Linked DNA regions of Neurospora crassa OR74A. The protein of the gene in region 3 purifies or fractionates together with the protein of the main gene of each other region. This does not show direct contact. Links are inferred from orthologs where the notes say so. Each region holds a gene or a part of one and is shown on either strand. Other genes may lie near its edges.

Region 1 (4,013 bases), on a different chromosome or scaffold from region 3:
TTGCGCCAGCGCCTGATGATTGACTGCAGCCACGGCAACTCGAATAAGAACCACAAGAACCAGCCCAAGGTCGCTGCCGAAATTGCGCAACAACTTGAGAACGGCGAAACTGGTATCATGGGCGTCATGATTGAGAGCAACATCAACGAGGGCAAGTCTTTTTATTTTGTTTATTTTTTTTATTGGGGGCATATGACCGTCTAAATTTGAAGCTGTTCGCTAACACAACGTACAGGTAACCAGAAGGTGCCCGAGGAAGGCAAGTGCGGCCTCAAGTACGGTGTCAGTATCACTGATGCTTGTATTGGCTGGGAGGACACTGTCGCCACTCTCGACACGCTTGCGCAGGCCGTCAAAAAGAGGAGAGAAGTCCTGAGCAAGAACGCCGCTGCCTAAGTCATGCCAATTCCTGGTCTTGTTTGCTTTATGGTTTATGGGTCATTTGATAGGGGTTCACGAACCCTAAGTGAGGGATGCCGAATATATGCTGGCGCGGGGATGGGAACACAAAAGCTGACATTTCTGCATGTGGTGTGTTTTGATAAAGAGCGTGTATTAATGCATCTTGGGAAATGGCCGTCGAGACAATAGAAGATGGTAAAAGATGGAGCGGGTCTGGATCTCAAAACGAAACAATTACCTTGGATTTCTTTCGATGATAATCTCTAGGATCGTCCATGTTCGACTACAGTTTTGCGTTGCCTTTTTTTTTGGGGATGCAATTGTGGTGATGTGTTGGTGTGAAGCGTGATAGCCGTGGTGACCAAATCTGAGCTTCACCTGCGATTACGGGGCCACGGCATAGGTATGTATGTGTGGTGTATAGCTTCAAACCTGGCTTTCCTTGGCAGCTTTTCCTCGGCTAGGTCCGGTCACGCTGGGTCGCCGTGTGAGCTGAAAAGACAGAAGGGGCGGACCGCGGGCAGCGAGAGCTTGGACATTTATGATTTCCATGGGGCGATGCTGGCTGATGCTGATGCTGATACTGATGCTGATCCTGATCCTGATGCCCAGCTCCCAGCTGTGCCCAGTTGGATTAGTCGCTTGTGAAACTTCCACTTGCAGGTCGGGATTGGGCTCGCTGAGGTGTCTACCTTACTGAGCAAGGTAGTCTCAAAAAGCGCTGAGGCCCGCGGGCAGAATGAGGTAAATTAGTGCGGAAAATCCATCGGCCGGGGCCGAGGGGAAGTGTAAAAGCTCGAAAGGCTGCACGGTGATTGGCCCAGCCAATCAGATGGCGAGTGTTCCTAAGATTCCCGAAATTCAAGAAACCTACGGTCCTACCTACGACGCTACGTGAAGGGAATCGACCGACCTTGCACCTGGACGGACCTGCTCGACCTCCCGCCCGCCAGACCTGATACTGTCACCGACATTGCCAACCCAATTGGCCTTGTCCCCCGAACCCGCGATACTTTCCTAAAGCTTCGCTCAGCTTGCCCACCATGCTGGCGAGGACCTGCCTGCGCTCGACGCGCACCTTTGCCAGCGCGAAAAATGGCGCCTTCAAATTTGCCAAGGTTCGTCTCGATTGCTTCGACAACTCTTTCGTCCTCGTCTCTCTGCCCCTCCAAACAACAGATCTCGGCCGCATCGCCACTCGAATGGCTGGGTCTGGGCCGGCTTGAGCTACCGTCAACCTACTGCGAGCTCCCGGTCCGGGGCCCAGTTGCCCGACCATCCCCGCCCCGGCCGAGCCATCCTGTCTTGTCTCCTTCACACTCTCGCGCTCCTCGAGGAAAGCTAACGGACGTGCCCGGCAGCGTTCGGCTTCCACCCAGAGCTCCGGCGCCGCTGCCGAGTCTCCCCTCCGCCTGAACATTGCTGCCGCCGCTGCCACCGCCGTCGCCGCCGGCTCGATCGCCTGGTACTACCATCTCTATGGATTCGCTTCCGCCATGACTCCGGCTGAGGAAGGGTGAGTCCCCTACGATCGATCCGACCATCCGCCCCGCTCTAGCCGCTGGACCGAGGTCTGCCTCATGGGTTCTGAGGCATATACGACCGAGCTCGACTATAGGCATGAATCTGGGCATGGAGTGACTCGAAGCTTACCGTTGACGCAGTCTCCATGCTACCAAGTACCCCTGGGTCCACGAACAGTGGCTCAAGACCTTTGATCACCAAGCGTAAGCAACCACTCCTATCCAGCCCATTCGAGGCCGCGCCTCCAATCCAAAATGACTATCTGGCTCACGACTTTGTTTTTGCCCGACTGCAGTCTTCGCAGAGGTTTCCAGGTGTACCGTGAGGTCTGCGCCTCGTGCCACTCTCTCAGCAGAGTCCCCTACCGCGCTCTTGTCGGCACCATCTTGACCGTCGATGAGGCCAAGGCTCTTGCCGAAGAGAACGAGTACGACACCGAGCCCAACGACCAGGGCGAGATCGAGAAGCGCCCCGGCAAGCTTTCCGACTACCTCCCCGATCCCTACAAGAACGATGAGGCCGCCCGTTTCGCCAACAACGGTGCCCTTCCTCCCGATCTCAGCTTGATCGTCAAGGCCCGCCACGGTGGCTGCGACTACATCTTCTCCCTCCTTACCGGCTATCCCGATGAGCCTCCCGCTGGCGCTTCCGTTGGCGCCGGCCTTAACTTCAACCCCTACTTCCCCGGTACCGGTATCGCCATGGCCCGTGTCCTCTACGACGGCCTCGTCGACTACGAGGATGGCACCCCCGCCTCCACCTCCCAGATGGCCAAGGATGTTGTTGAGTTCCTCAACTGGGCTGCTGAGCCCGAGATGGACGACCGCAAGCGCATGGGTATGAAGGTTCTGGTTGTCACCTCTGTGCTCTTCGCCTTGAGCGTCTATGTTAAGCGTTACAAGTGGGCTTGGCTCAAGTCGAGGAAGATCGTCTACGATCCCCCCAAGGAGTCCACCACCCGCCACTAATTTAGCATTGCCACAACAAAGGGCAAAGTCATGACATTCACACAATAACCGTTGTGAGACGTGCGTGATTTTCCTTGTCTTTTTCTGTGTATGTATCATATACTATTGCTGCCCAAATTTTGCTCCCCCATGTTCCTCTTGCGCATCGGTCAGAAAGAGCAAAACGAAAAGGAATGGGCAGGGGCGGGATCGGTAACTCTGGGCAATGCGGAGATGTGCGGGCGTGTGGGTTGAACATGAAGATGGTCGTAGAGTGTATAAATCAAATTTTCTGGTCTCAAATACAACATAGACGTTATTGCCTGTGTCTGACAGGGTATGATGGTATGGGTATGACGGTCAAGCTGAACTTGCATGTGAGTGGATCAGGATACGGATATTACGACATGGGCATTTGAACGGATGCCAAAGAGTAAAGGCCATTTCCCTGTCAGCTACATCATCATGTACGCCTTTAACTTCGAGAGTAGTTGAGATATAGTATGAGCTTCGAAAGCCTTGACATTTCTCGATTGGCAATCTCTCTTTCACCGAATCACGGTAAATGTCAGCACGAAGTGCCACAGAGGATGCCCCTGGCTTGGCATTTGATTTGCCTTCCAAACAAAGTCTTGGCCCCCTCCCCTCCCTTTTCGATTCACTCACTGACAAGCAACAACATCTTGACCCCAAACTCATCGTGAAGTTTTCAATCACATTTTGATTCTACGATTGCTGGACACCACATATGTAAATCCAAAACTCTCCATCCACTGACAACCAGCAAAATGTCATCATCAAAACTATCACCACCCCAATCACAGGCCTCTCGCCTCCCATATAACGATGTCATGTCACCAGACCTCGCCAATGACATCCTCAATGACTTCAACGTCGACTTCTCCTCTTCCTCTCAAGACCGAGACTACCTCGCCTCGCTGCTTACCTCGGGTTTCGCCCCACCAGTTGAAGTCCGCAAACTTTGGGAACCGAGTCTCATGCGTGGAATGGAAGAATGGGAAATGATGATGGATTGTGCCCATTCCTTGAGGGATCAAGCTTATCGGGTTCTGCGGCTGGAGCGAGAACAAGATCATGGTCAAAATCGCGTGATGGGTGATCCTGAGCTGTGTTTGTTGC
Region 2 (2,763 bases), on a different chromosome or scaffold from region 3:
AATGTGTGATTTAATTTGGTACGTATCACGTAAGGGGAATGATGGATGATACATTATGCTATGTAATGATGTAATGTAATGTAATGTAATGTTATATCCACTATGTACTGCAAATGTAATCATCTGATAGATAATATAAAATGTAACTTAATGTAACTTAACTTAATGTAATGTAATGTAACTTAATGTAACTTAATGTTATGTAACTGTAATGTAATATTTTGTAATGTAACTGTAATGTAACTTAATATAATGTAACTGTAATGTAATATAATGTACAGTAATGTAACTGTAATGTAATGTTACATTACATGTAATGTAATGTAATGTATTGTAATGTAATCTTTATATGTAATGTACTAAAGATTACGATAGCTAGCCAGTTATATACTGGCTAGCTATCGTATGATTATTGTAGCCATTAGGGATAGCCTAATGGCTACTTGATTATCATTAGATATACTGCAACAGCAGTAAATACACTGTTGTCGGGAGCCTCAGTGGTATTTGCTGCTTTGCGGTGGTGGAATTGAAGAGGTTACTAGATTCTAGTTAATTTTTGATTCCACCATTGTATATATAATGATACAAGTAGCTAAAATAATAGGAACAGGGCTAGCTACCACAGGTTTAATCGGAGCTGGTATAGGTATTGGAGTTGTATTTGGCTCATTAATAATAGGGGTTTCAAGAAACCCTTCGTTAAAAAGTCAATTATTTGCATATGCAATTTTAGGTTTTGCTTTCTCGGAAGCGACAGGATTATTTGCTTTGATGATGGCTTTTTTACTTCTTTATGTTGCATAGTAATGATAGAGATTAGGAATAAAATGATGTATGGCTGCTTAAATAAAAAATATGGCTGCTCTTCCTGCTTAGCTAGCTAGCTAGCTTCGAGGGACCCCACGAATACGGCCCACACACGAAGGTGTGTGGGGTATTCGTGGGGGGCCCCCTCCTACTTCCTGCCTACGAAGTCTAGGCAGGCAGGAAGCAGCCTTAATAATTTAGCTAGCCATAATATCGCGACCACCCTCCTCCACTCAACCCCCCCCTTGGCGGCCCCCATCTTTCCCCCGCCCTGCAATACTGCAGGGGGGCATAATTAAATGTGATGGGGACCTTGAGCAAAGGAGGGGGTACGCGAGTGGAGGAGGGTGGTACTTTTTTGGGAGGGAAGCTGAGCGAAGCTGAGCGAAGCTGAGCGAAGTGAGCGAAGTGTGCGAAGCTGAGCGAAGGTAATTCATTTTTTTGGGCCCCCGCCCCGAAGGGGGCGGGGTCCCCCGAAAAAACAAAGGACGCTAGCGTAGCCTAACCTTATGAGCAGCAGGCTATAAAAACCCATTAGGCACAGGGTATACTTCGTTAGTGGATAAGAATTAGCCTAGCCTTAATATACAATACAGTTTAATGTTATATTTAAATTCTATATTTTATGAAAAGATATAATATATTTATTATTATGGTTTAATATTCAATATAGAATATTCTATTTCTTTTTTTATGGGATTATTATTTAATAATTTAATTATGAATTTTGATGCTCCAAGCCCATGAGGTATCTATTTTCAAGATAGTGCTACTCCTCAGATGGAAGGTTTAGTTGAATTACATGACAATATTATGTACTATCTGGTGGTAATACTATTTGGTGTAGGATGAATCTTATTATCTATAATAAGAAATTATATCAGTACAAAATCACCAATTTCACATAAATATTTAAATCACGGTACATTAATCGAATTAATATGAACTATTACTCCAGCAGTAATATTAATATTAATTGCTTTCCCTTCATTTAAGTTGCTATATTTAATGGATGAAGTTAGTGATCCTTCAATGTCAGTTTTAGCAGAGGGGCACCAATGATATTGAAGTTACCAATATCCTGATTTCTTAGATTCAAATGATGAATTTATAGAATTTGATTCATATATAGTACCGGAATCCGATTTGGAAGAAGGAGCACTAAGAATGTTAGAGGTGGATAATAGAGTTATCCTTCCTGAACTAACACACGTTAGATTTATCATCACTGCAGGTGATGTGATACATAGCTTCGCTGTTCCATCTTTAGGTGTTAAATGTGATGCTTATCCTGGGAGATTAAATCAAGTATCTGTTTTTATTAACAGAGAAGGAGTATTCTATGGTCAATGCTCTGAAATCTGTGGTATATTACACAGTTCTATGCCTATAGTTATAGAGTCAGTATCTCTAGAAAAATTCCTTACTTGATTAGAAGAACAGTAAGACGATAAAATAGTTTTTGGCTAAATAAAGGAACTCGGGGGACCCCACGAATACGGCCCACACACGAAGGTGTGTGGGGTATTCGTGGGGCCCTATGTATTTGAGTATGAAGCCATCTAGTGGTTATCTCTCCCCCCCTCCCCGCAGGTTTGCGGGGGGGGAGCGAGGGGGTAGCGATAAAAAGTTTCTAATATGAAGAGGATGACTTATGGAATTAACTCCACTCCCCCCCCCCTTAAGGGGGGGAGTGGAGTGGAACGGAATTAACTCCACTCGCTCCCCCCCCCGCAGGTTTGCGGGGGGGAGCGAGTGGAGTGGAACATCCGGGAGGTGGTGGGTTATATTATAAACAATATTCGGGGGACCCCGCCCCCTTCGGGGGCGGGGGGCCCATTAACTGGAAAGCACCCCCCCCTTAAGGGGGGTGCTTTTAATTATTATTATTTTTATAGGTTAATTAGGTTTAAAAGGCTACCCGCCCCCCCCCCTGCAGTACTGCAGGGCGGG
Region 3 (4,073 bases):
GGTTCGTGGAATATTCCAAGACTTAAGCCCCTGTCTCACCATTCCATATCGCATGTTTCTCGACACCCACCTCATCCTCATCCAGTCAGGGGTATGCAAGCCATCCAGCACCATCGCCGGTTTTAGTATCGACCACGTGAGTGACATCCAAGACCCTGAAAACCGCTCAACTGAAGCAAACGACAGTAACTGCATGACGGGCTCCCCGCATACCCCAGTTGCCCAACTTCCAAAATGGGAAACAAAAAACGGGGTGCATCGTCTGTGCCTCAACAGGGCGAGAACCATGGGACAGGACTCTGGGGTTTGGGGATGGTGGTGTTCGGGAGGTGGGAATTTTCCGCCACTAGGAGGTGGTATCATGTAGGTAAGAATCTTACTTAGTGGGTAGGAGGCAGAGAGAGGAGTACGTAGCTGTAGGGCGTGGTCATGTGCTTAACAAGACGTCCTGTGTGTTTCCATGTCTTGAGCCTCCATGTTGAACAAGGTAAAATACGAGTGTTGTGTAAGCTCCCAGGCGTCCCAAACTCCGAACCCGACTCTCATATGCGAAATTTCACTGCCATGCATGCCTCCACCTCTTCCACAACCACCCAGCCCCTACAACTTCAGATACCACTTTCCTTTCTGCTCCTCCTTCTCAAGGAGCGGGTGGAGGTGAGAGGGGAGGGAGTTGACAAAGGACCGGTGGCGGTTACCGGCTGTGGTGAAGAAGCTGTGGATCGTTTGTTGTGTTGTGTTCTCGTTCGTGAGTTAGTTGGATAAGATAACTTGCACACTTCCGGAATGGTGCCGCTCCAACTTGCACAGGGCGCCGATCCGGGGATCCACTATCGGACACGGAAGCCGGATTGGGCCCGGTAGTTTGAAGCTGGAAAGCCCGAGTTCCGTTTGACGGGGTGGAGCATTGTCGATGTTTGATTGGGGCTTGGAGGGTTAGGGTCACGCCAGTCAAACCTGCAATAGCTTCATCAAGACCTTCTTCCTTCTGCTCCCAGTTAGCTCAATCATTATATAATCTATGCCGTACCCAAGTCAATTGAAACCTAGGATTGCTTCACACAGTCTCTTGCCATGTATTCATCACGCAATTGTCGCTTCACTTCATGGTACAGTACTGATGATATGAGCGGTCCCACGTGCTGCATCACCTGACCGTGCGCTAGCTGCTTCTGGCAACCAGCTGGGGAAGCTTTCCAGAATGTGGTCCAAGCGCCTCCATTCGTACCAAACAACCGCCCGTTCGCCAGTTGCCAGCGGCAGAAGGGAAGGGCAGCACGGTCGGGGCCTCTGTCCACTGCAGTGGTGCCCAGCTCAGCTGTGGGACCCACGGCAGTGTGGGCAAACCAGCTTCGGATTCGGACAGACAGCGACAAAACATCATCTCCCGCCTCTCCGCTCTCTCCCGGTCAATTCTGTCACTCCGACATCACACCATCCACCACCACCCACCCGCCGCCGTCGCCAACATGCTCCTGTCCCGCACCGCCGTCGCCGTCGCCCGCCGGGCCACCGCTGCCCCCGCTCTCCGTCGCAGCATCGCCACCACCGTTGTGCGCTGTAAGTGAACATTGGAAACGTCTCTTGGTTTTTAGCGGCTGCGGCCTGAAAAAAAGCACGGCATCCAAAAAAGCTCCAATCGCGAAGCTGCAAATATCCGCGCATAAGCATCATCACCACCACCACCACCAACGACGACGACATCATGACCCCACCACCACCTCGAACCAATTCGCGACAACCAAACGCGCATCAATCACAAACCCCCGAATCCCGATCGCAAAACTGACACCATGTTTTTATCTTGATTCCAGGCAACGCCGAGACCAAGCCTGTCCCCCACATCAAGCGTCTCTCCGGTATGATGATCTCCCCCCGCCGGCGATTGCGTCACCATTGTGTCTATTGGGGTTGCTGGAGAACTGGGCTACGCGAACTGGAAGCTGTGGTGGGTCTTTCGAAGCTCGAGCTGAGCTTAGTCAAGCTTGGGGGAGCTTGATGAAACAACAAGAAGAAGGAGGAGGAAAGCATTGGACGACCACAAAAAGGAGGGGGTTATTATCATTGCGCGGACGAACCGGAGAAGAAGCTCCTCGACCAGCTCAAGCTTGAGGCTCCCCTATCTACCACAGCTTCCACCGGCCGGGTAGCTCAGTTCAGCCCAGCTTCCCTATAGCCTCCACTCGCTCCATGACGATGCGGGGTGACGGACGAAACCGCATACGACGAAAAAACATACATGACTGACATATATACCTTTCGCGACAAACAGAGATCAAGACCAAGGATGACCTCTTCGGCCCCGGTGCCGCCCCCGGCACTGTCCCCACCGATCTCGAGCAGGCCACCGGTCTCGAGCGTCTCGAAATTCTCGGCAAGATGGAGGGCGTCGACGTTTTCGACATGAAGCCCCTTGATGCCTCCCGCAGGGGTAAGACTTGCTGTAATAACCTGGGTTGAGAGGAGCTGGGGGGTTGACAGTTGAAAAATAGGCACCATGGAGAACCCCATCTCCGTCCGCTCCGCCGGTGATGAGCAGTACGCCGGTTGCACTGGCTTCCCTGCCGACTCCCACAACGTCATCTGGCTCACCGTGAGTTTTTTCTCTTCTCTGTTTCTTCTACCGCTCAAATTGAGTATTCTAACCAAAAAATAGATGACCCGCGAGCGCCCCGTCGAGCGCTGCCCCGAGTGCGGCAACGTCTACAAGATGGACTACGTCGGTCCCCAGGACGACCACGCCCACGACCACGGCCACGACCACCACGGCTTCGAGGAGCCCAAGACCTTTGCCGACTACGTCAAGCCCGAGTACTGGTAAATTACCCAGTTGTGGGGTTTGCAAAGGGAGGTTTGAGGTTTTTGTGTAGTGGGTTGTTAATAGAAGAAGACATTGACAAATACGATGCATGCATATGACACAAGTTTACTGGGAGGCAAGCACTGTGAATGCGAACCTGGAGAACACGGGGGTGATGATGAGGCTGGGTAGGTGGTTGTTACCTCATTGGACTTGCATTCGGGAACCTAGAGCTGTAGATTTCTACCTAGAACCCTGGGGCCAAATAAATACTGAACATGGAATTGTATATACCATCGAGAAGCTCGAAAGAGGTTGGATTGGCGTGACAGTATCTAGATTCAGGATTGCTACTAGGGCTGTTTGCTCAGAGTGCATTCGCAGAATCATCTAGACTCGACCTTCTCTGCGGTACCGAGCAACAAGACTCGAGACCATCCAAGATAGCTTCTTCTGCCTGGCACTGAGTCAGAGCACCGCAGGATCGGGAACGACGTTCTGGCACAGCTCCCTATTGCTTTTCTCCGGACAGCTCTTGGGTAGTACTCCAGGCATAACGGCATAGACAAACTCGGACTTTGCATCCCTCGTCATCCGCAAGCTTGTCACCAGGTCGCGCATCTTGCGCCCTTCCACTTGCTATTGGGACATGCGCCGGCCGACGTGGTTGTTAGCCTTGAACACACACCTTCCTCTCGGCATGCCCCCCTTTTTTTTCTCCCGTCGGTGTTTATGTACTTCCAGCGCCCAAGCCCGATAACGACGGCATCTCAACCCTCCTCATCACCATCACCAAAGCTAAGCTTGATTTTCTTAGCCTTCTTCATGGCCGTCTTGGGCTTTGGTTTCTCCCCTGCCTGTTCCGTTTTTCCGCTTTGGTCTTTGGCATCTGTACCCTCAGCCTTTGCCTTTGGCTCCTTAGCATCCCCATCTTGCTCTTGATCAGAGTCATCATCGCCAGCAATGACCTTCCCTACCTTTCTCTTCTTCTTACTCGCTCCTATTCCCACTCCTTTCTCCTCCTTTGCCATCTTGTTATTCCCTTCTTTACTCCCCTCCCCATGTTTGTTTCTGTCCCCCCCTTCCCCTTCTCTCCCTTCTTGTTTTCCCTCCCCATCTTTCCCATCTTTTCCCCCCTCCCCCTCTTTCCCATCTTTTCCCCCCTCCCCCTCTTCCCCCTCTTGTCCCTGTCCCTCCCCCTCTGTGGTCCCCTCACCCTCCACCTTCGAACCAGACTCCATCACCCTCCCATCCTTCCCCACAGACACTCCAT
Region 4 (3,390 bases), on a different chromosome or scaffold from region 3:
GACTGTACAGACCCTGTACAGCCAGCAGCATTCGAAACCATCACTCTTTATCGTCGTCGTCCCTTTCATCTTAACAATTTGCCTTGGACATTCGCCTTGGACCATTCGCCTTTACCCGATCGCAACGTTCAGAGCAGCAGCACTTCCCGTCATGGCATATTCATACAGCTACCCCATGCTCCCCAGGCCCTCAACGCGGGCGCGCGGAGCGGCAGAAGGCTCAAAGGTCGGCGTGCAGTGTCAAAGAGTGTCGAAAGGCTTCCCAGTTTAGGCTCATGCTGAAGGATTGTTCAGGGATCGTCGTGAATCGAGTGTGGCGCATCAATTGGACCGGCGGAGCAGTGTCTCTGTAACTTGGCCATAGCAATTGCCGGCCAGGACCTATGCTCATGATCTTTATCCTCGATCGTCACTTTCCTGCTTCAGGTCGAGTCCTCTTTTGGTTCAGACGAAGCCTTTGCGGTCTTTGGCTCCCCTTCAGAGTCGAAACCAAGGGCATCCAATTCCCGGATGAGTTCGTTGATCTTGATAACCTTGGCGATCTGTTCAGGTAACAACGACTCTCCACCATCCTTCTTGTCCTTCAGCTCCTTGGCCTGGCGAAGCTTCTTCTTTACATTCCGGGCCTTCTTCTCCTTCTCGGCTTCCGGGTCGAGCTCTTCTGGCTTGAGTGCAGGGGCCGCTGCAACAGCTGTCTTCTGATCCTCGCCTTCTATTTCGCCAGCAGCCTTGGCTTTTTTGCGCGCTTCCCGACGTTTGGCATTTTTGTTAGCCGCCGCACTGAGCTGCTGGTCCGACTTGTCCTCCTTCAATCCCTCTGCGCCCGGCACTGGGCCTTTGCCGCGCTGGCGAAAGCCCTCGGCGGTGCGGTTCTTGTACACCTCGACATCCTCGGGCGGGCGGTAGCCGGGGCGGACTTTGATAGCTTTTCTGGTACTCCCGTCGGCTCTCTTAGACTCGGGGATGACACGCTCGCCGTTTTTGTCAGTTATGATGCCGGAGTTTGTTGGCTGAGACATGGTTCAAGATTGTGGTGGGATTATTGATGTTCGATGAGGGGTTCGGCTAGGGTTGCGGCGATGCCGTTCGACGATTCGGAAGTAGTGAGTTTCGTATAAATGTTTAATGGTTGATTCGCCGGAGCTCGAACCTCGCGTGTCGAGATTGTTGCTTTCGTAATGCGCACAGTTTGATGCGCATCCGTCGGACACGTCAATCAGTAAATTTGTAGGAAGAAGCAAGAGATTGGAAAATGAGGACGACGTTGTGGCTTCGAGGTTGATCCCGCTTGCAGCTTGGCACGCTTGTGAGAGGTGCCAGCAGCCTTGGAGGCACCTGGAGAAAGTGGGTCATAGCTTTGACCAATCAGGGGAGCTGCATTTGCTCCGGATGGTTCCGGCCGGCGACATCTGCGATCTTCTAGGTTCCGCTGGGTCGGTTTTGTCCAGTGCAACGAAAAACATCGTGATTGCTCGCGACGCCCATCTCCCACACAACGTCACCGTCAGAGACGCAGCTGAACCACCGTTTACAGCCTCGGTAAATCTGCCAAAATGGTGAGCATCTCTCCGCCCTCACGCCGGCTCAGAACCTGCCAATGCTAATCGCGCATTCCCAATTTAGTCCGCTTTGTACAAGCAAGTATCCCCGCAACGCCGAGCGCATGCTCACACGCCTCCCACCCCCATCGGCCCGGCACCGGCCCCGACCCTATCTCCCGGGCCAAAGCCAAATCGAGCACCGATAGCTAACGTACATCCCAGCCTCATCTTCCGCAACAACACCGCCTTTGTCGGCGCTGTCTTCGCTGGTGCCTTCGCCTTCGAGTTGTACGTACCCACGACAGTCGTATAAACATATAACAGGGAATCTTGTGTCGCTGAACAATCGCACCATCTAGGGCCTATGACAACGGCATGGACAAGGTCTGGGACAAGATCAACAAGGGGGTACGAGCCTACGACTGAATTGACACTGGTGTGGAACAGTTGCTGACGAGGAGAACAGCGCCAATGGAAGGACATCCGCCACAAGTACGTCGAGGCTGAGGAGTAAACATGACGACTTGGGAGCAACTTTTCAAGACATGGAAACGCCGACCCGATGAGGATCAGACGACAGCCTCTAGGAGAAAGTGGGACGTGGTCGACGGCCATTGATTGCTAGAGGAATGGGCGACTTTTCCTGACGCTTCTGCCTACCAAGCCCCTATTTCTACCGTATTGTACAAAATCAATATTCACCATGGCGAAAGACACATAGACGAATGACCATAGCCCGACTACAAGGCTGAAGAGTAGGAGCATTGAGCAATTCTCTCTGCCAGCTTTTGATCTGAGGAACCTCAGCATGAAGCAAGCCCGGCAACCGAACGGCCCAGCCTGGATTTCGGACGTGTGTATGTGTGGGCAATGTCTGCTTTAAATTTCCCAGCGTTGCGTAGCAGGCTGAAGCGTTCGATGAACTGCGCAGTTCGAGCTGACCTTCGCAATCTCTGACGTCTTTACGCAGCGGCTTTGATGGTCGGTCGGACGGCATGGATTTTTCACACACCAAGCGCCAGCCCCTGGCAAGCTACGTTAGCTGGCACTGTGGCCTGTGGTATGTGGTATGTAGAGGTAGTAGAGTATAGAGGTACCTACCGGCTGGTGCTCGACATGGTGATTATTCGCTGAGGAACCTCTACATTTGACCTACTAACTTTTTGTTCTGTCCCTACCGTACCTCTACCGGTACTTCAGGAGCAACACGGTGCAATGCACGATGATGATTATCAATATACGGTGTGGACGACATCAGGACGGGAGGTTCAGTTTGTAACAAGTCGCTCGGTTAGGTATAGTAGCGGAAGCACACGCGTACTTCTGAGGGTAAGCGTGGCCCAGTTGTAGTGTTTAGTTGCTCCCTATCATAAACAGTACCATTCATAACTGTACGTCAAGAAGGGAACAGGGCTTCACTCTTCCTAGTACCTTCTGCCTACGCTACCTCTACCTCTACTTAAAGGCCCGGAGTGCGGCCCCCCACTGACGTACCATTACGAGCGTCAGTGCACCTTCTTGTTCGCAAAATACCGAAGCTCGCTGCAGGATTTGTCTCGCAAATGTCGATAGGTAAAGATATAATGGGGATGAGTTATGGTCAAAGATGGTAGGAGCTTTTAGTGGAGTCCTAAGTGTCGGTGCAATCACGACTGCAAACCTACCTGGGTAACATAGGTTGCTCCGACGGCATGTCTACCAGTACTGAATTGGATGTTAGGCCAAATGGCACCAACGGAACTCGCAATGGATCAACAGCGGCCATAGAAGCCCGACAAAACCCCCCCCACAGGATCTACAATTAAGAAGGAACTCGGAGGAACGGTCCTGACGGTCGGTTGTTGGTTAA

Evidence for each region.
Region 1: the proteins of cox-4 (region 3) and cyt-26 purify together in Saccharomyces cerevisiae (affinity purification with western blotting; 5 studies listed by BioGRID, with this or other methods). This does not show direct contact. The link is inferred for Neurospora crassa OR74A from reciprocal best matches to the Saccharomyces cerevisiae genes COX4 and CYT1.
Region 2: the proteins of cox-4 (region 3) and NCU16028 purify together in Saccharomyces cerevisiae (affinity purification with western blotting; 7 studies listed by BioGRID, with this or other methods). This does not show direct contact. The link is inferred for Neurospora crassa OR74A from reciprocal best matches to the Saccharomyces cerevisiae genes COX4 and COX2.
Region 4: the proteins of cox-4 (region 3) and NCU03233 purify together in Saccharomyces cerevisiae (affinity purification with mass spectrometry; 3 studies listed by BioGRID). This does not show direct contact. The link is inferred for Neurospora crassa OR74A from reciprocal best matches to the Saccharomyces cerevisiae genes COX4 and QCR9.

Annotation. Positions count from the first base shown.
Region 1 is NC_026501.1:4,144,761-4,148,773, reverse strand, and holds cyt-26 (cytochrome-26), read left to right. Parts: upstream 1-1,211; 5' UTR 1,212-1,445; coding exon 1,446-1,520; intron 1,521-1,763; coding exon 1,764-1,918; intron 1,919-2,066; coding exon 2,067-2,129; intron 2,130-2,221; coding exon 2,222-2,894; 3' UTR 2,895-3,506; downstream 3,507-4,013. Other genes in the region: aro-7 (DAHP synthase), read left to right, coding at 1-151, 236-396; mbp3 (methylated-DNA-binding protein3), read left to right, coding at 3,662-4,013. UniProt on the Saccharomyces cerevisiae protein: Component of the ubiquinol-cytochrome c oxidoreductase, a multisubunit transmembrane complex that is part of the mitochondrial electron transport chain which drives oxidative phosphorylation.
Region 2 is NC_026614.1:58,026-60,788, forward strand, and holds NCU16028 (cytochrome c oxidase subunit 2), read left to right. Parts: upstream 1-1,503; coding exon 1,504-2,256; downstream 2,257-2,763. Other genes in the region: NCU16027 (ATPase subunit 9), read left to right, coding at 583-807. UniProt on the Saccharomyces cerevisiae protein: Component of the cytochrome c oxidase, the last enzyme in the mitochondrial electron transport chain which drives oxidative phosphorylation.
Region 3 is NC_026503.1:514,250-518,322, reverse strand, and holds the start of cox-4 (cytochrome c oxidase polypeptide IV), read left to right. Parts: upstream 1-1,265; 5' UTR 1,266-1,469; coding exon 1,470-1,560; intron 1,561-1,814; coding exon 1,815-1,859; intron 1,860-2,272; coding exon 2,273-2,431; intron 2,432-2,492; coding exon 2,493-2,593; intron 2,594-2,656; coding exon 2,657-2,821; 3' UTR 2,822-3,570; coding exon of another isoform or gene 3,571-4,073. Other genes in the region: NCU16615 (hypothetical protein), read right to left, coding at 1-288; NCU05688 (hypothetical protein), read right to left, coding at 3,571-4,073. UniProt on the Saccharomyces cerevisiae protein: Component of the cytochrome c oxidase, the last enzyme in the mitochondrial electron transport chain which drives oxidative phosphorylation.
Region 4 is NC_026501.1:4,990,466-4,993,855, forward strand, and holds NCU03233 (hypothetical protein), read left to right. Parts: upstream 1-1,428; 5' UTR 1,429-1,553; coding exon 1,554-1,556; intron 1,557-1,623; coding exon 1,624-1,637; intron 1,638-1,763; coding exon 1,764-1,829; intron 1,830-1,900; coding exon 1,901-1,949; intron 1,950-2,007; coding exon 2,008-2,055; 3' UTR 2,056-2,883; downstream 2,884-3,390. Other genes in the region: NCU03232 (RNA binding protein Pym), read right to left, coding at 423-1,019. UniProt on the Saccharomyces cerevisiae protein: Component of the ubiquinol-cytochrome c oxidoreductase, a multisubunit transmembrane complex that is part of the mitochondrial electron transport chain which drives oxidative phosphorylation.